Caenorhabditis elegans: one gene and its partner. The protein of the gene in region 1 purifies or fractionates together with the protein of each later gene. This does not show direct contact. Each region holds a gene or a part of one and is shown on either strand. Other genes may lie near its edges. The genes, in order: bgnt-1.3 and emb-8.

Region 1 (9,945 bases):
ATGCAGGTCGCTGGCTAATTGATTTGTATATTGTTCCCCATGCCGCAGGTTGTCTTCGTTAAGAACTTTTTCTGAAAGTAAACTAAATTGAGGTGAAATATGATGTGTTCTTTCTTATTATCTGCGTTTGGTGGGTACTGTAGACGTATGTTTGGAACATCAAAAAGAGGTCTAGGCATTTCAAAAAAATTTTCAGATTTTTAAAAATGTAGCGACTGACTATAAGCACAACTTGTTGCAGTTCACTTTTGCACCAGTTTTTATGCCGATAGAAAACTCCAAAAGCAGATTTTCACAAAATTTTATTGATTTTAAAGTTGTTTAAATGCAGGAAAACAATTTAGATTTTTTTTTGAAATTCTTTGGAAAAATGCTTTAGAAACAAAGTTATAAGTTAACAATTTTAAAATAATATTTTAAAATTTCAAACAATTAGTGACTTCAAAACTGACCAGCTACAAACCAGACTAACTGCCACAGCATATAATTTATCTCCAATGAACTTGGCTTTAAATTCTGTAATTTTCTTGCCACGTCATCAAAAAGTATGTGAAATATCGGGTTTAGCTCCTTTTCAACTTTTCTCTTTTCCTGTTTGTTTAGGGGTTTCAAAATATACCGGAAAACCTTCACTATGTCGACTGCAATTTTTTCGGATAGAAATACAATCTGAAAAATTTTCTCATGAATTTTCAAGCCCAAAATTAACTTTGCAAACCTTTTCCTCGCAGACTTGATTCCCAAATATTTCAACAGAAACGGACAAAAGTTCTAGCCAAGACCACACATGCCACGTTGATTTTAAAATCAATAAATTTTCGGTTTCAGTTAAGCTTTGAAAAAATGAAGAATGCGTTAACCACGTGGCACAGTTTTTTATATGACCCAGCCGAAAATCGGTGAGATTTTGGAAATTGATCCGGTCCTCAATCTGAAAATTAGTTATTAAAACTATAACATTTTAGAATTCAGAGAAATTTTCTTACGTCAATATATCGCCGTTTCTGATGCCTTGTGATAAGTTTGAAACCGTTTTCGAGATCAGTTAAGGGGCTGTCAGAGTAGTTTCTTGAAATCTGAAAAAAACTGCATTTTTCAAAAATAGTCTCTCCAAACTTACACTGAAAATATATCGAACTTCAGCCAACAAACTTTTGAAGCCATACAGGGTTCCATGAAATATATAACTTTTTTCGTTTTCAGGATCAACAATTTCAGACAATTCGGGCTCGGTTGATGTTCCCGGGAATGTTGAAGATATTGGATCACGATTTTGTTGGATTTCTGAAAATTCATAATAAAATGGTTTGATCGGAAATCTGATTAAATATTTTCAAATGTTTTCTTTTAAAATTTTGGTGGAAGTTGTTGAAATTTTTATGAACAAAAACTATGGCTGGAAGTTAACTTCTGAAAAAAATTATGTGAAATTCGAATTTAACATTTTTTGAAAGTTTGGCTAAAAAACATTTTATATTCCAAAAAAATTATAATGGAAATTTCGGCGGGATATTTTAAAGTTTCCTACTTCAAAATTAAATTTAGGACGGAAAATTTAATAAAATAAATATTATGAACATTTTGGGATCTACAAGCACCTTCTAAAAAAATATTGCTAAAAGTCAACATAGCTTGGTTAGATAAGAAAATCTTTGTGAACCCCGAGAAATGAGTATCAAAATTTCAACTTTTTTTACAAACACAAAACAACCAACTTTCTGCCTTCATTCCCATCTGTAGGCACTTTTGAAACCTGCAAAGCCTACAAAAGTGTCGCTCGGTACTGTCAATTCTACAGTCATTTTTTCGGGTTTTGCAATGGTATCTCATTCCGCACACAAGAGATCTTCTGAAAGTTTTCTTGCTAATTTACAGTGTAAAACATTTTAATTACTTGCCTGAAAAATGCGGCGCAAGCCCTACAAGTCATAACGTTAAAGTTAACCCCATGAGATTGATATGTACAAATTTGGCACGGAATTGGCTGTGTTAGCATTGGCTCGAGGTGATGTTGAAATGAGCTGGCAACCATAGTTTCTAACAATGAGTTAAACAGAAAAAGATATTCTGAGAAATAATGGAAATAGGCGCGTTGGAAGTACAGAAAGATCGAGTTCGTTTTTCGTAATCGTCGAGCGGATCTCCCATGTGAGACCCCATTCTTTCATTGGACACTTGAACTATTGGGCAGGCACATCGGCAGGCTTAACGATTTTTTTCTGGGGATAAACACATAGTACTGTAGGATTACTGTAATTTTTGAAGAAAGCTATAAATACATCCTCAGTGTTTGGAGTGGGTTGAGATTAGTGCACGCACAGTGAAGGGGCACTGTAGGATTACCGTTAATGTAGTGAAGGAGTACTGTAGGAGTACTGTAGTTATATGAAAAGTCTGTCTGAAGCTTTGAGAATGGGGTTGGAGTTAGTGGAGAGTTGGTAAAGAAATATGGGCAGTGTACTGTAGTAGTACTGTATGAAACTGTGGTACATGGGTACTGCTGTGATATGGTAGGAGTACTGAGGTGTCAAAGTGCTCATTTTGGTTTGACCTTCAAGAAATGCGAAAGATGAGACGAAGACTTATCAACTGTTTTCGCATGGTTAACAGCGTGCAGATGCCACATTTTTCAGAGGGCAAAATTCCCGCATTATTTGTAGATCAAACCGCAATGAGACAACCTGACACCACGTGTTGTAGGAGTACTGTAATGTATGCACGAGAACTGTATGCACGAAAACTACTCTTCTATCTCTTCTTTTATTTTTCATTCCCACATAACTCATATCAGACAATTTTTGATATTGCATTTGTCATATTCTCTTCTGTCTAAGTACAGTTTCTCCGCCCCTTCTCAAATGTATTCATACCAGCTCTTATTAGCTGTTCTTATCTTCAATAAATCGGTCATTGCCTGACGACAACACCTTTTATGGTGTACCGACGTACTAACGGGCTCCGCAAGACCCGCGTGGCAGGCGGGTCAGGCAGTGCTTATTCCCTATTCCCTATTGATGCACCATAAAAGGTGTTGTGGTCTTGTTTTCTATCAATTTTTTTAGCTCAGAATTATATAATGTACTTGAATGCACTTTGGGGAGTAGACGTATGATTTTTTATTTCAGAAAACTTTGAGCATTTCACAATTTTTGAAAAGTTCTATACAGAAAGGGGAATCGAAAGATTAAACCTATCGATGTTACCTTTCAACAGGACAATGCCTGCGTTGCAATAAACACCGGTCGGATAAAATCTTTCAACACACCAAAGGCGAAAAGTTCCACGGAAGAGATGAGAAGAAATAAGGAAGGATTGCTGTGCAATCGGGAAAACGTGGACTTGATTTTTGAACACAATCTTGTTGCTGACATGAGCGACATTTTTTGGAAATAGTTCGGGAAAGCAATAATTGTAGGGGTGGAAATAAGTTTCGAAAATATTTTTCCATTGTTTGAAAACCAAATAATATCATGTGGAACTGGATAAAACGTACACACTTTTTCTAAATTTTGTATGAATTTTTTTAAATTTTGCAAGAAACAAAAAAACGCACAAGTGGATCAACTAGTTTCAACATTTTTTTGCTTTTGGCTATATAATTTTTTTTGCAAAACTATTAAAAAACCGATAAGTAAATGTGAAAATAATTTTTTTTGGTAATTTTTTGTTATGTTATATTTGGTATATAAACACGATTTCTAATGTTTTTGTTAAAAACCCCCACTTCATTGTATTTTCCTTTTTTTTTTAAATTTTGAATAAGTATGCATTGTTTTGAGCAGAAAACCAGTTCTTTTTTTAAAAATTATTTCTAATTCATAACATTTATACAATTTTCTTAACAGTTTTAACTAATAAAAATTATCACAAATTTTGAATGTTTTATCGCGATAAAAGCTGTTCTGCCTATTTTTATGCCTGTTTTATGTTTGGGTTATACATATTTGAATAGTTCCCAAAATCTTTTTTTTTTTAATAATCCAAGTAACGATAACGTTTTCAAAATTCATATTTCAAAGCAGGAACTGTATTTCACTACAACATTTCTCCTCAAGTTTCAACATGTCCCGACGAAAAGTGGAAGAAGCGGTGTTGAAAAAATCAGATAAGACAATGTCCTTTTGCCTGTCAAATCCAGAAGTGAAGCCGAAACACCGGCCATTTTTTTGAAATCTGTATTCACTTTTCTACAGAACACTGATTTTTGATGGTTTCTTTACAAAAATCGATCGGATTACTGTTACTTTCAGCGATAATTGGCTTAGTTTTTTTGATACAGGTAAAATTTTCGGGTTTTTGGAAATTTTGAATAGTGTCTTCTAAAATTTTTTTTTAAATTATAATTATAAAAATTAAGATTTGTTTCATGCGGGAGAACATAATAAATTTTTAAAAAAAATTGAAGAGTTCGTTAAATTTTCCCTAGCAATTGAGAAAACTGACTGAAAATAGTTTCCCGTCAGTAGTCTTAAAAAAATATTTTTCAGCATAGGAAAAGCTATACTTCATCTGATGCTCTCCTGGAAAATGGTTACCCCAATAAGTACTACACAATAGAAAATCCTGCCGAAGAAGGCGAACGCCGAAGTTACTCTATTCAAACCGAAATGCATGCTGACCAATATTGTATCGCGTACAAATTTTTAGAAGCAACTGAATCGTGAGTATCTAATCACTAATCAGATTTTCACAGCATTTATTGAAAATTTTAGATTTCGCGAGGCAGACGGCCTAGAACCAGTAACTCTGGCAACTCATGCAACTGCAGATATGATTGAGACTGTTGAAAATATGACTTTTCTGTGGGATGGGCCGATTTCAATTGGAATATTCGTTGATTATCATTCTTATAATGTTCTTGAGTACCTAGCAGAAGTGCATCGATGTGACGTTTCTTTCAGAAGAAAGGTAAGGAAACAGAGCCGTTTTTCTTGTGCTACCAATCAGCGCTCGCTGAGCAAAGGGCGTGGTCAACGTCGCTGATTGGTCACAGTTATCTTCAAATTGTTTTCTGTATTTTTACAGATGAATGTACACTTTGCATTCCGCCGATCTCCATTTCAAACCGAATGCCCCCTGATTGAAATTCCGCAGTCAAACAGATCATGCCAGGAATTCTTTGCTACTCGTAAGATAATTTTTTTCACTGAAATTTCCTATCTTTTTAAATTTTTCTTTTAGACACAGAACTCCGCAACGCAATTGTTGGCCCTTTCCAGTTATACCCCAGCAATCTAATGCGGAATATTGCTCGAAAAGGAGCCCAAACTGATCTTCAGTTCATAATGGATGGAGATATGGTTCCTAGTGAGGGATTTGCAACGAAAATTAAACGAATTGCTAATGAAGTTATTGATGGGAAGAACAAAAGAGTTTTGGCCATTCGAAGGTTTGAGACTTCTGATACTGCAGAAATTCCAAGAGATCATCTGAAATTGTTAAAGTCGAAAAAGTTGCACAAGTAAGTTAATTCGGGTTTGAGCCAGCTGAAATTTTAAGCTTTTCAGAACTTTTGAGTTTCACCATCGCTATTTCCCAGAAGGACATCATATTGATGGGCTTGACGATTGGTTCAGGACTTCGATTCATTCAGGGGTGGTCACCACGAAGGAAGTAGCTTACCCGTTCGTGTTACGTTTTTTTTTAGTTTTTTGTTCGAAAAATTCTGAAATTTTGCAACCCTGACTTTGAGCCGATCCCCAACAATGCATACGGCGCAAAACCCGGCAGATGTCGGACCCTGAAAATTTGCCAAAATGTTTTCTCGTCTTTTTCTTTAAAAAAAATTTCAGTGGCTATCTCTGGGAAGTGCAAACAATTCTGCATCGCAACGACCCTTACAACGCTGACTATTTCCCATCCAGGATCAAGGTTATGCACTCCTTGGTAGCCAATTTTTTATCCTTTTATATATTTTTTTACCTTTTCCAGGTGTATGCCCTCTGTCGTGCAGGGTACACATTCCATGTGCCAACTCATGTGTTTGATTCTCATAGGGGCATCAAGCATACCAATACGATATACTCAAAAGCTACGATAGCCCACCAAGAAGCGTATGCAATGAAGGAGTAAGTCGGAAACGTCTGAAAATTGGGAAAAGTTTTTTTTTCTAATTCCAGAGCTGGTGATCGGTACATCAAGGAAATGGATGATTTATACCCACATACATTGAGTCAATGTGGAGAGTTTTCAATGATTTGAATAAAAAATGTATATCGAATTAATGTGGAGTTTAATACCAACCGCTGGCCACGCTACCGGCGTTTTTCTCTAAAAATTTAAACTTTTCGCCAAATTTTTTTCCGATTTTTTTCGAGTAACTGCTGTAGAAATATGATAGCCATATTTTTTTTTAATAACTGTGCTTTTTTTGAAATAAAAAAACAATTAGTTGTGTCAAAGTAAATGACCCGGACTCGTACGGTATCGTACGTAGGTCTGCTAAATTGTAATTTTTACCAATATTGTTAGCGTTCATAACAAGATTTCGCTGTTAGAATAAATATGACTAACATCGTTAAAACATTTAATCTTATAATATTTGTCTGATGAATGTGTTTTGTATTGCTCAATGGTGTTATAATCTTTATATAAACAAGAATGAAAACATTCTATGAAATATCCCATCGAAAAATACTCATAATGCTTATTAAAAAATATTGAAAGGTTTCTTTATTGCCTCCCGACGATTCCAGCATGTTTTATTGTATTTTTTTTTGTTCATTCAACAATGCGGATTTTACTTTTACTGCTTCAGAATATTCTTGTATTCTGTCAATTTTTACAAACTATCAAAGTGGGATTAATGTTCTCAAAAGACACGGCCTCAGTGATAAGATCAGTTGGTTATCGGACATCTGCTGCAGCGGTTTTAGTTGCAAAAGACCGGATTAGAGCGGAGCATCTGTTGGATCAATATGATTTTAAGTGGGTTTTGTTTTCAGAGATATCATTAATTTTTAATTCCGTCAACATTTCTTATAAAACAATTGAATTTCCCGCCAAAATTTTGTATAAAAAAAATTCAAATTTCCCGTAAATATTTTTATGAGAAAGATTGAATTTCCCTCTGAAATATTTTTGAGAAAACTTTAATTTTCGACAGCATAATTTTATGATACAATTTGATGTTCCCGCCAACAACTATGATAAATTTCGAATTTTCGACCAAAGCTTTTTTCTGAGAAAATTCGAATTCACCGGCTTTATAAAGTGGACGTGTTAGATCCCATCCAAATCAATCAATTTCCTAACCTCACTTGTTTCAGCTTTACAATAAAGTTCGATGAATGCTCTGAAAGTCTCGCTGCTGGAAAAGTAGTCGAACTTCTTACCCATGATAATGTAGACGTAATTATTGGCCCAACTTGCAATCGAGCTGGTGTAGCAGTTGCGTCTCTTGCTGATTTTTATAATGTTCCAGTTTTTCAATGGGGACTTACTACTACGGCGGACATTGGAAATTTCAGTAGATACCAGACAACGGTCACACTGTCATTGGATACTCACAGGTAAATTAATTTTGGTTTTTTCGAATTGAAATGTGTAATCTAAGAACAATTAGGCTCTTTATAGAGCTGCCGGGAGGCACTAATGAATTCACCTTTCAGCATCTCGCTTGCAGTTCGAGAAATTTTGCGCCAATATGGTTGGTCTGAATTTGTTTTTATATATTCAAACGACGGAGATGAGGAGAAATGCGCTGCGATGAAAGATGACATGGAAAAGATGGGAATCGAAAATTCAGATGTGACCATGGCCTATATGATTCAAATTCAGACGGTCACCATGGAATCACTCCAACGGACCTTGCTAGAAGTTTCGAAAAGAGGAAGAAGTAAATTTAACTTTTTGAAATTAACTGTTCAATTTTTTTAGTCATAATCGCATGTTTTGCAAGTGGTAGAGGATTCAAGAAAGCGTTTATTGCGTCCACGGTGCTTGCTGGAATGTCTACTGAAGAGTACCTTTATGTGTTCGCAGAACCACAGTCGAGAGGATTTTGTGAGACTATATATAGTAAAAGTAGATACTGATAGATTTGTAATTTTAGATGTTGATGAAGCGGATGGAAAAGTTCACTATTCATGGGATGATACGGATGGACAATTGGTGACTGGACTTACAAATGAGCAGATTCGAGATGCTTATGGAAAAGTGTTGTATATTTGTGATGTGAGTAATTAAAGACCATAGAATCAGACACTCAATCCTCATTACTTTACGGTCTTAGTAATTCTACCCTTCATTTTCCAGAATATGGGCGAGCCCACAACTATCACTACACAGTATACCAACTTCACAAGTCAAGTGATCTCTCGAATGGCAGAACAGCCATTCAATTGTGTTCAAGACTGTTCAAATCAGTCTTATAAACATGTATGTGATTTGAAACTGTAAGAAAAATTGAACTGTCGATAAATTATCAGGAGTATGAAAATTCGAGAAATTAAATTTTACAGGCAGCAACCTACGCCGGACAGCTCGCTGATTCTTTCTACGCCTATGCTTTCGCATTGAATAAATCACTCACTCAAGACCCAACCCGTTCAAATTTGAAAAACGGGTCGTTTGTTCTCAGTAATATTGGGATGACATTTCAAGGAGTCGGCGGAGAAGCCGTGACTCTTGATGAGTCAGGAAGTCGGATTGTACAAGTCTACATGTTCGCTATGAACTCCTCACTACTTCCATATATGGCTGCAAGCCTTCTTGTGAATGTCTCAGAAGTGGTATGCCCCACAGTTTTGCTTTCCTTTCCTACATTTGTTTGTTCTCAGGTTTTCACTCCGTTCTACAAATCAGAATCCGAGCTTTGGAGTGTTCGCCCACTTTCTCGACCGAAATGCGGATTCACTGGATTAGAATGTCCTGCGGACTTTGTGAAGGAATACCTTGTTTATACAATTATTGCGGCGTTTATTGTCATCTTGGCGTTATTGGCTGGGTGTGCAGGGCTTCTGTACACAATGCAGTGAGCTTTTTTTGGCTTGTAATGTTTATTAAAAAGGACTCATGTATGAGCAATCCTTTTGAAAATGAGCAAGTTGCTGGGTAAAGCATTCTGTAAGTTCTTGCTCCCGAGGTTTATTCTACAGAGGACTTTGCTCAAGCTTGGAGAGACAGATTCACCTTAATCCTTTGTAATCATCGAAGATTACAACCAATAAAAGTTTAATCCAAGTTGGAAATAATATGTGAAAACACAATTTCCAAACAAAAATAGCTATTCTGATCTCCGAAAATTTCGGGATTCGTCACACAAAATTTACTGTAAGACGCCAGTAGAATTGTAAATTTCCCGCGATTCTCAGAGATCACACCGCAGGATAACCGACTCGTGCTAGCAGACGTTGTTTCAAAAGGCCCTTCCAAAGTTTTTCAAAAACTCGCGTTAATATCAAACAACAACTTTCAGCATGAAGCGAAAAGAAATGGAGCGCCAAGATCTTCTCTGGCAAGTTGCATTCGTCGAGCTACAACAAGTTCAGTCAAAATCCAGAGCCGAAGCAAGTATGCACTCATTTGCCAGTGGCCCCTCAACTTCCACCAAAATGACCGTGGAAAGTCGCACCGAGACCACTAATTTTATATTTTACCATTACCACCAGGAAGTTGTCGCTGCCAAAAAACACGATCTACTTGTATTATTCGATGCAAACCAAAAATCCGAGTTTCGCCAAATGAGAAACTTTGACAATGATAATCTGAACAAATTCATCGGGTTATGCCTTGATGGGCCGCAGCTTTTATCACTTTGGCGGTTTTGTTCAAGAGGATCTTTATCAGATGTTATCAGTAAAAGTTCAATGCAAATGGACAGCTTCTTCATGTTTTCCTTGATTCGAGATATCTCAAATGGACTCTATTTCATTCATAGCTCTTTTCTAAAATGCCATGGACAACTGACTTCCCGATGCTGCTTGATTGATGACAGATGGCAAA
Region 2 (10,166 bases), on another chromosome or scaffold:
ATTTGGATAATTTTGAACTTTTAGATTGATTTTCCCGAAGAGACCGATTATGAAGAGATTCGGAAAACAATTTTAGAAGTAATAATTTACAGATTTCAAATTAAAAAATTGAATATTTCAGAATTACCCAGCTCTTCAAAAAATTGAAAAGGTTATGATGCTCGCAGTGGATCAGGAGTGAGTTTTCAGAAAATTGAGGTGCAACCGCGCTCTACGGCCAAATGGAAAAGCTCCGCCCCCAAAAGTTAGGTCTCGTTAGGTATTGGCAGCAAAACTGTTAATTGAAATGTTTTCAATAGCTTTTCATCATTTTTGTTATGTTTCGCGTTGTTTTTAAAGAAAGCTTTCGGAAGTGTCGTTGCCAATACCTAACGAGACCCAACTTTTGGCCGTCGCACATCTCTGCGTCTTTATAATATGTCGTTTACAGATATGCCAACCCCGGAGATCGTTTCGAATTGGTTCGCTTCACAGAAATCGCTGTAATTCCTCCATTGTCTGGTGGATAATCTTATTGTGATAATTCTTGTAGACTCTGTTTATTTCAATGAAAATTTGTGATATATTTGACAAAAAAAAACTAGAAAAGTGGGTTAGTGGGCGACAAAGGGTGCAAAATAGGGAAGAGAGGCGAAGTTTATACCCGAATTTCGAATGATTTTTTTTCTCTGTTTTGGGTTGAAAAGAGCTGGGCGATTGGGTGGGAGGTTATCACAGAAAAATGGGAAAAGGGGGAAATGCAATATTTTGTCTAAATCACAGAAAAATTACTGAAAAATTTTAAAAAAACTGAACAAAAATGAAATTTGAAAATTATGACCACACATCAGCTTGGTATCTTTTTGTCTTCTCCATATCTTTGAAGTAGGCGACAGCTTCCGTTTCAGATTTTCCTCCGATTTCTCTGAAAATCTTCTGAAGTGTTGCCTGAACGTCACGAGCCATGTTGCGGGCGTCTCCACAAATGTAGACGTGAGCTCCAACGTTAATAGCATCCCAGATACGATCACGAGTCTCCCACAAGCGATCTTGCACGTAGATCTAAAAATATCTTATTTAAAAGTCAATGAAACACGGTATCCTACCTTATGTTCCTGAGCTCTGGAGAAAGCGCAAACCAAGTGTGTGAGCACTTCGTCTTCTTGGAACTTTGCCAACTCATCTTTGTAGATGTAATCATGATCTGGATGACGGCATCCATAATACAAATGCATTGCTCCGATTTCCTTTCCGGCATTTTTGTGGAATTGACGATCTTGGAGGAATCCACGGAATGGAGCGAATCCTGTTCCGGGACCAATCATAATGACTTGAGTTGTGGTACGGTGGGGAAGACGCATTGTTGATTTACGAACGAAAACTGGAGATTTCGATCCGGCGTCCTGAAATTATTTGGATTTTTTTTTGGAAAAAGAAAGTGTGATAGTGAGAGTTTTTTGAGTGAGAGTACAGTGAGAGTTTTTTGAAATTTTGTTTTAAAAAATACAAAAATGAACCGTGATGGCCAAATATAACTGTTTAAAAATGTAATAAATTTTTCTAAATTTTTTTGAAATGGTTTTTCAATTTTGCAAATTGAAAAAAGAGATAATTATTTTTGAATTCCCGCGCAAATGCATCGTCCGGTTATGACATTTTTCTTAAAGTAAACTTGTATACATTTAAGATTTTTTTGCGAAAAAATGTCTGAAAATTTTACAAACTGTGCTTTAAATTGAAATTAGCCAGAAAATGCAAAAATGCCAAAACAGGGTGATTCATTTGCTAGGGAATTCGAAAATAGCTATTTTTCTTATTTGCAAAATTGATAAAATTATGAAAAAATTTGAAAAAGTTATATTCGATCATTACGGTTCATTTTCTATCATGTGCAAAAAAATTTACCTTGGTGGTCAAATATCTTGTACAAACTCCATTGATATCACGATCACCAATAGAATATTTAGTGACAACTGCACAAATTGCAATCTTTTCCTCATTTAATCTCGGAGATGAAGCAATACTGTAGTAACGGGCTTGAAGACGTGGAAGAAGTTCAAGAAGATACTCAATTGGTGGTTTACATGTCTTTTGATCAGTCAATACATCGACAATTGAACGACGCTCTTTGACAATGTATCTGGCGTACTCTTTCTGAAAAAAATTCAATTACTTCAAAATTAAAATTTAAAAAAACTCACCAAGCCCTCCTCATTGGCAGTTGATAACTTATTAAGGAATTCCTTTTCAGTATCATCCGTACAATATTCACTGATTGCTTTGAGCACATGAGATTTGACTGGAGCACAAATATCAACATAATGAGAAAGAGCAGTTCGGAATGTGGTTGGGCATGGGAATGGATGACGTTTTGATGCATCTTCATCAACGTTCACAAGACGGAATGCGTGATCAGGATCGAATTGAAGCATATTAATGAGACGATCAACAAGAACTGGATCATTTGTTGGGAAGACAGCCAGATGATCTCCTGCTTCATAACGAATACGGGATCCTTCAACAGAGAACTCAATATGTCTACAACTACGATCAGAATGTTCGGTATGAAGTTCATCATTGATCGCAACAGTAGCCAAATATGGATTTTTGACATCAAATGGTGGACGTGGACGTTCATAAGCTCCAAGTCGTCCAAATTCTCCCTTGAAAAGAGCTTTTCCTTCTTCAACTGGTTCCAATTGATATTGTCTCATTGTCTCGGCCTCTGTGTTCAACTCCCATCCAAATTCTTCAGCAACTTTTGGCAAGAAAGCTTCTCTCCAAATCATAAAATCTTCTTCAAGATTAGCATCATCATCTCCTAATCCCAAATGAAAGATTCTCTTGGCTCCAAGTTTTTCAAGTTGTTTGTCCATTTGAATTCCAATCTCATTAAAATGTTCATAAGTCTTATTTCCAAGTCCAAAAACTGCAAATCGAACACCCGACAGATCACAGTCTCCAGCATTCAAATATTCAACAAGTGTCACTGCATTATCAGTTGGATCTCCTTCTCCATATGTGGCAATGCATAGTACCAAAAGAGCATCCTCAACTTCACTCAAACGATTCAAATCTTCACATTCAATATCTTCTGGATCAACGACAACAGCCTTCTTGGTGTAACGAGTAAGATCTTTAGCAAGACGTCCAGACATTTCTTCAGCTGTTCCAGTTTGAGATCCGTACATGATAAGCACCTGAAATTAGAGAATTTTGATTCTATTTTCTTTAAAATTCCATATCAATTTACCTGTCGGTTCTCATTTTTCATTCGATCAATGAATGATTGATTCGATTTCGAAGCCGCAGCTGACGTGGTGACCGATGCTACGGTTGGCGAGTATCTGAAATTTTAATTTCAAATGTAAAAAAAATAATTTTCTGCATTTATTTTTAAAGTACCTGCTAGACGATGGTTGCTGATTGAAAACCTTCATGAAAAGGAATATAATTGCTCCACCAGCGAGCAGAGTGAGCACCACAAGGTCTGATGTGTCGAGACCCGACACAATCCACGCCAGCATGTTTAGAATGAGAGTTTCTGAAATTAAAGAATTATTTGAAAAGGAAGAGGGAGATATTGAAAAAGTAAATAAATAAGAAGTTATAGTTTAAACATGTTTTAAAATATTGCCGCTGAATTTTGCGATGTTTGCGCCGAGAAAATGACAAGTTTTTGTTAAATGCGCGTGCGCCTTTAAAAAGTACTGTAATTTCAAACTTTCGTTAATGTTGAATTTTAATTGATTTTCCATAGTTTTTTAAGTTTAATTTTATGTGATTTTTATTGTTTTCATGCATTTCTTTATTTTTTCAATAAATAAATAGTTTTTAAACAAAAATGTGTTTTTTTTCTGTTTTCAGGTGATTTCAGGTACTTAGAAAAATCCCGAATCAAACGAAAACAGAGGAAAACTCTGAAAAATTGATTGAAATGGCGCAGAAACGTTAGTTCGAAACTACAGTACACTTTGAAGGTGCACACCTTTTTGTATTTATCAAAAATTTGGCGTGTTGAGACTGGGTCCAGTGTTTTTGGCGCAAAAACCACAAGTTTGTCGCACTAAAATATATGTATTTTGAGAAATATCTGAATTTCTATCATATAACTGTAATAAATAATTTTTTACAAAAACAATTTCAACTAAAAACTTAATTTGAGATACGATTATCGTATAGCAAATTCAGTGAGTCTTTTTTCAAAAAAAAATGTACAGTCAATTTGTGTGAATGAATGGGAACATTAGACATATTGTTCTGTCTGTCCCCTTAATTTGGTCTTACAGTTAAAGAAAAAGAAGAAAAAACAAAAGCTACAGAAGAAAAATCGAATTAAGGGAGGGAGGTATATTGAAATAAACAAAGATACGCCGTGAGGAAAAGTTATTAGTGAAAAGAAAGTTGTATTTGCCAAGAAGGTGAGTATTTTATAGAAGCAGATAGTCAGAGAGTTTGCATCATTTTTTGAGGTTTGTGATCGACACACATAAAATATGATTTGGTGGTCGAAGAAAGATACTTCGAGAACACAAAATTTGTCAGACTTTGTATTGACACGTAGACTAGAGTACTGTTTAGCCAAAATTATCTTCTGAAAACAAAACTTCTAAAAACTATGTAATCTTAAAAAATTTCAGACATTTTGCAAGTACAGTAGGAAAATGCTTAAACAAAACTAAAACAAGGAGTCAGGAAAAATTGAAACAAAAAAAAACTGCGGCACAATATCTGATATAACCCAAGTAATTTTACGGCACAAATACAGTACCCAAGGTCTCGACACGACGAATGTTTGTTAAATATGAAAACACGTGCGCCGTTAAGGAGTACTGTAATTTCAAATTTTAGTTGTTGTTGAATTTTCATAATTTTCATCTCGCTATGTTGAAATTTGAGTTTTTAAAATAAATATATCTATTTTTTATCGAAAAACTTCGAAAAATTGTGGGAAATTCCGCAACAATGAAAATTTGAAGATACAGTACTCTTTCAAGGAGCACGACTTTCTACATTTTACAAAATTTGTTGTGTCGAGACCGGGAGCAATATTTCTGAAAATTAAATATTACTTGGTCACAAAAGAGAGTCAACTTTTGTAATAGAAATAAAATAAAATTGGTTATTTCCACTATTACAAGACTTTCAGAAATAATTAGTCGCCAAACGATTGTTTCAGTCAAAAATAATTTCCTAATTTGAATTAAACGTCAATTCAAGTCATGCGATGAAATAAATGACTGGTGAATAACTGTTGAAATTCAAAGATTGTCTGGTTAGGTTTAATCATTGATAAGAATTGAATTGAGAATTAGAGAAGAAAAGAAATTGCGAATTTTGTTTTTAAGTTGATAAGTCAAATAGATATGGACTGATTACACCGTCAAGCATTTTCTGTAGTTTATGTCACTTTTATCACATTTTGACAAAATTGGATGTTGTGTACGAAAACCACACGCAAAGTACGGTTTTATCAAACGAAAATGCGTTTTCTACAAAATTTGAAGTTCAAATGGAAAATCATAATTGTTTGCACGTAGTTTTCAATCAAAATATATCGTCACACTTGAGTTAAAAATTGAATTAGGCCCGATACAATGAACGGTCAGTCATCGAAGTCGACGTACATAGGGGCGCAGACAACACACACATTGAAGACGTGGAGGATTTCATTTTTTCCGGTTTTAATACAAGGAAGAGAATAAGAAAGGCAACAGGTGCCACTTTTAATTGGAAATCAAAAGGTTATGCGGAAGTCTGAAGAAAATCGAAAAATGTTTGATTTAAAAAAAACATCTCAGAGCATGATTGTAGAGCATAGAGTTGGTTGCCTAGGTTTCCATCTCAAAGAATAGGCTGTGATTGCAGGTGACCTGGCTACAGTGTACCCTTTATATTATCAAGAAGGATATCTCGGGGTTTTATTTTTTCTATGTTTGATGTCAGAGAAAGAATATCGAAAACATTATAGCGTCCTCATTAACGAAATTATCGGGAGGGTTTTTTTTTGATAAATGGAGAAGCGACATTTGGATAATTTGTTATATTATACTCGAAATAGTCCCAAAAGTTTCGAAAAAATTTTTTTTGTGAATTTCTGTATATGTGAAAAAAATCTATGAAATGTCACGAGATGAATGACAAAAAATTGCAAAATAAATATGAAAATAACCGAATATTTAAGTAATAATTTGCGACCGCTGCGACACGGAAAAGTTGGGAAAACTGGAAATTATTGCTGAAATCAGGTTTTTTTTTCGAAACTTTTGAACAGCCATGAAACTTTTGAGAATTCTTTGAAAAGTTTCGTGAAATTTGGATTTTAAGGGCATTTAGGGTATAATGAAGCAAAACAATTTTGATCGAAACAAATAAATTTAAAGAGACGAAGTTCAGGGGAAACATCTATAAATCGTGGAAAGAGAAGAAAACGAATATCCATTAATAAAAGTAGGTCAAATTGAACATCGAAAAGAAGAAACAGAGAGAGAGAGAGAGAGAGATCGTCTAGAATAAATCAACTACAAATGAAATCTTTCTTTTAAGCAATTCAAGCCTTAACAGTCACATTAACTATACACGAAGTTCCCCTAATACGACTATGATAGAGATAGAGAGAGAGAGAGAGGAAACAATTGAGAGGGAGTAACAGCCCACAAAAATCGCTTGTTCTTTTCTTCTTTCTCTTTCTTGTCTCTCTCTCTCTTCTCGTTCTGTTTCTCTACCTATCTCTCTTCAGTTCATGTGTTATCTATAATTGTTTTTCTCGTGAACAACTACCTCTATTGGCTACACTTGATCTCAAAGTGTGGTCTATGTTCTAGCCATTTTTGTACGTGTAGTTTTTGAAACCGATAGAAATGTGGAAAACAATTATGGCGAGTTTTGTTGGGGGAAACCGAAATTTCTATTTGAACAAAAACTTTTTGAAGATTCAAGACGTGGAATAGAACAAAAATGTCTAATTTATGTATCAAATTTGCAAGAAGATCGTGCAAAATACTCGAAATTCGGCGTTGTTCTCGAAGAGTCTTCCCCGATTCTCAAAAGATCGGTATCGGAAAATAAGTCGAATGATTTGAAGAAAAGATAAATTCGGTCTATTTCCATGAATATTATGCATGTGAAAAGAAAAATCGGGTTTTTATACGATTTTTTGAACTTGTACAAGATTTTGTTGGTGAAAATCGGATTAAAACATCGAACTAGAAACATTCAACCGAAAATGATTAATTTTGAATTAAATTTGTGATCATCGTCTAGAAAATTCTAAAAGTTAAAAAAGAGAACTAAACTACAAACCACGGATCAAAATGACTGTGTTCTGCTTGTGGTTTATGCTTACAAACACGTAGAGAAAAAATACAAATATTTTCAAAGTGATGGAGGCAACAAAGATAACAGTATGTTTTGATCATACGGAAGTAAAAATAGAAGATCAACAGATTCTTCACTGTAATTTCTGAAAATTGGTGTTTCAGCCTTAATTTGACTACTGGAAGTTCGAATTGAAATACATAGATGGATATATTTCTTTGCAGAAAAAACAACTCGATTGAAAAAAATTCATATTCTTACAAAAAAAAACATTCATACGTTCTTACTGAAGAGACAAAAAAAAAAAAGTAACCCATAATTGAAAAGAGAATTAGAAGAACGATAATAAATAAATGGGGTCGGGAAATGAGGTCGGGAACGATAATAAATAAATGAGGTCGGGAACGATAATAAATAAATGAGGTAAAAACGATAATGAAAAAAGAGAAAGCTAAAAATCTCTGAAAAGATTATAAATGAACATGCTATAATTGTACAAGTACGTCCTTCTGGGAAAACAGGGCGAGCTGGAATATTATTTTTTCTTTCCTTTGATTTGGTGCTCAATATTTTTCAGTTTCTCCTCGACAGTTCCAGAAGCAGGCTGAAATTTCAAAAGTTTCAACGATAAAAAAAAGATAAATAAAGCTTACAATCTTGAAATTATGTGTCGGGTTCCTCTTGAGATGATCAAGAACTGATCCAATCTGACGCATAATAGCTTGCTGTGCGTCTACGATTCTCTGATTGTTTTTGAAGTTTCGTCGTGAGGTTTGCTCCACAATGTTCGTCGGGTCAAAGTCTCGTTGACCGTTCTTTGGAAGAGGTTGTTCTCCATGAGCGGTCAGAAACTGGTTGAGCATTTCTTCTAGCCATTTCTCCCGAGTCATTTTCTGAAAAATATACACAGATTTTGTGATGCAAATATTTGAAAAAACTCACAGGTGCTCTCACAACAGCCTTTCCTTTGACTTTTGACTTTTTTGGCGCAGTAGCGTATCTTTCTTCGTTCTCAGAGTCTGAGTCATCATCTGATTGATCTCTTCTATTTCTTCTCGAAACTCTTTCAATTGGTCTTTTAGCACGTTGGCGCGGTGCTCTGATCGTCAGTGCCTCTTGCGACTCATCCGATTCTTCTCCCATAATCATATCCAATTGTGAACTTGGCGCAGTTCCAGCTCTACGAGAAATTTCGGAAACTGCGGGTGAGATTGCTCTTCCAGTACTGTGCCTGCGTTGGACTTCTGCGATATGACTGTCATGCGCATTGTTTGGAATGGGTTCCATCTTGACAGATGTTGTTGAGAATGATTCTCCCAATCTGTGACCACCAGTGGATGAATGAATTCTTTCGTGACTTTCTATCTTCGCGACGTTCAATAGACGAGACGAAGAAGAACAGGATGATGCCGAGCGAATAGAATTTTGAGAGTCGGACGATGATGGTGCTGAATTAGTCAACCGTTTCTGTGGTAGGATATGATCATATTTTTCCGGTAGTTTACTGAAGTCGTTATCTTCGGCGACAATGGTGCGACAACCATGATGGTTTACGTTTTCGCAGCAGAAGAAATCATCATTCGAGCCGACTATTTCATTCGGACGAGATGCTTTGATCCAGGTTCGGCACATTTCTAAAAAAAAACAGTAAATTAGTTTAATTATAAAACGAAAAAACTCACGACACAGCTTCCAAATCCCACACGTCGTCCACATCACCTGATCCCTCGCGCTGTCGTGAGTTTGAACACATGTCGTTGAGGTGGTATTATTGTATCCATAAACGCCCCATAGCACCGCCCAAACGTCATCGCCCTCGTAAATTCTCACGTTCCAGGTATTTTTCAGATGTGTTGGAATCCAACTCTTCTCCAAATACATGGAATAGTCGCGTAGAGCATCGTTGCACTTTCTAACGAGCACTTGGAAATCCTTCACATGATCGAAGCCTTGTTTGTTTTGTGCCGCACTGAACAACGAATAATCCAGACTCAGGAACATTGAAATACCGATGCTGTTCGCGAATTTACTAAAGAACTTGGCTTCCTTGTTTCCCCATAAAATCAATCGATTGTTGATGTAGAAGTGGATACCATTGTTCGATCTGTCCTTGGTTTCAATTCCCATGTTGAGATGGAATGATTTTTCACTCTTTCCTTCTTTCTTGAATGCATCTCGATCGGCAATGGCCGAATCCAAATTCTTCTGACTGGTGTCAACACGAAGCCGCAAACTTTTCTGATTGGCGCGATCCTCCCTTCGGACAGACGTGTAATTCGTGCCACCAATTTCCGACATCACCAAAGCCTTCTCTTCTTCGCCTGAAACAAATTACAGTTATATTCTTTGGGTGTCAATGACTCACATTTCTTGACTGTCTCATTCTTTTCATCAAGAATCTTGTTGTAGGCGGCTGTGAACTGATCACCACTAATTAGTTGTTGCTTCTTCGCAATCCAGTTTTCAGAAATCCTTTTCGGCAGAACTTGTTCTCCGCGGACATGAATCTGAAAATAGATTTTCAGAATTAAATGTTACAATTTTCGTAAAAAGCTGAGATAACGAGAGAGAATTTTACTTACCCTCATTCTAGGCTTGAGATAAATGAACTCCAAATATTTTCGAAGAGACTCGCGCCAAGGCTTGTTTTCCTCGCCTGAATCGACAATAATGTCAGTCGGATCCTTCGTCGTGTTGATTGCCAGTTCTCCAGTCACACTTCTTCTCAGATTGCCAATGATGATGATCGTTCCCGTACTTCCAGTGATTTTATCGGCCAATTCAGCAAGAGTTCTGGATCCAAGTGGAGCATATTTACCGATAATCTTCATTTCAAGATTGAAACGATCTTTTTCGCTTTCGGTTTGACA

What was found.
Region 2: the proteins of bgnt-1.3 (region 1) and emb-8 fractionate together in Caenorhabditis elegans (co-fractionation; one large-scale study listed by BioGRID). This does not show direct contact.

The regions. Positions count from the first base shown.
Region 1 is NC_003283.11:16,250,573-16,260,517, reverse strand, and holds bgnt-1.3 (B3GNT1, Beta-1,3-N-acetylGucosamiNylTransferase 1, homolog), read left to right. Parts: upstream 1-4,022; 5' UTR 4,023-4,207; coding exon 4,208-4,279; intron 4,280-4,487; coding exon 4,488-4,660; intron 4,661-4,712; coding exon 4,713-4,908; intron 4,909-5,025; coding exon 5,026-5,128; intron 5,129-5,181; coding exon 5,182-5,461; intron 5,462-5,507; coding exon 5,508-5,624; intron 5,625-5,792; coding exon 5,793-5,886; intron 5,887-5,931; coding exon 5,932-6,068; intron 6,069-6,119; coding exon 6,120-6,201; 3' UTR 6,202-6,611; downstream 6,612-9,945. Other genes in the region: Nuclear hormone receptor family member nhr-218, read right to left, coding at 1-71, 453-669, 719-931, 987-1,076, 1,121-1,284, 1,716-1,849, 1,899-2,032; Receptor-type guanylate cyclase gcy-20, read left to right, coding at 6,731-6,927, 7,269-7,511, 7,611-7,837, 7,879-8,004, 8,054-8,175, 8,257-8,379, 8,463-8,732, 8,781-8,974 and 1 more.
Region 2 is NC_003281.10:5,196,155-5,206,320, forward strand, and holds emb-8 (NADPH--cytochrome P450 reductase), read right to left. Parts: upstream 3,524-10,166; 5' UTR 3,507-3,523; coding exon 3,385-3,506; intron 3,327-3,384; coding exon 3,233-3,326; intron 3,180-3,232; coding exon 2,181-3,179; intron 2,134-2,180; coding exon 1,885-2,133; intron 1,383-1,884; coding exon 1,086-1,382; intron 1,042-1,085; coding exon 814-1,041; 3' UTR 526-813; downstream 1-525. Other genes in the region: moc-6 (Molybdopterin synthase sulfur carrier subunit), read left to right, coding at 25-78, 122-177, 431-509; ATPase morc-1, read right to left, coding at 7,832-7,900, 7,950-8,189, 8,239-8,930, 8,979-9,617, 9,662-9,803, 9,879-10,166.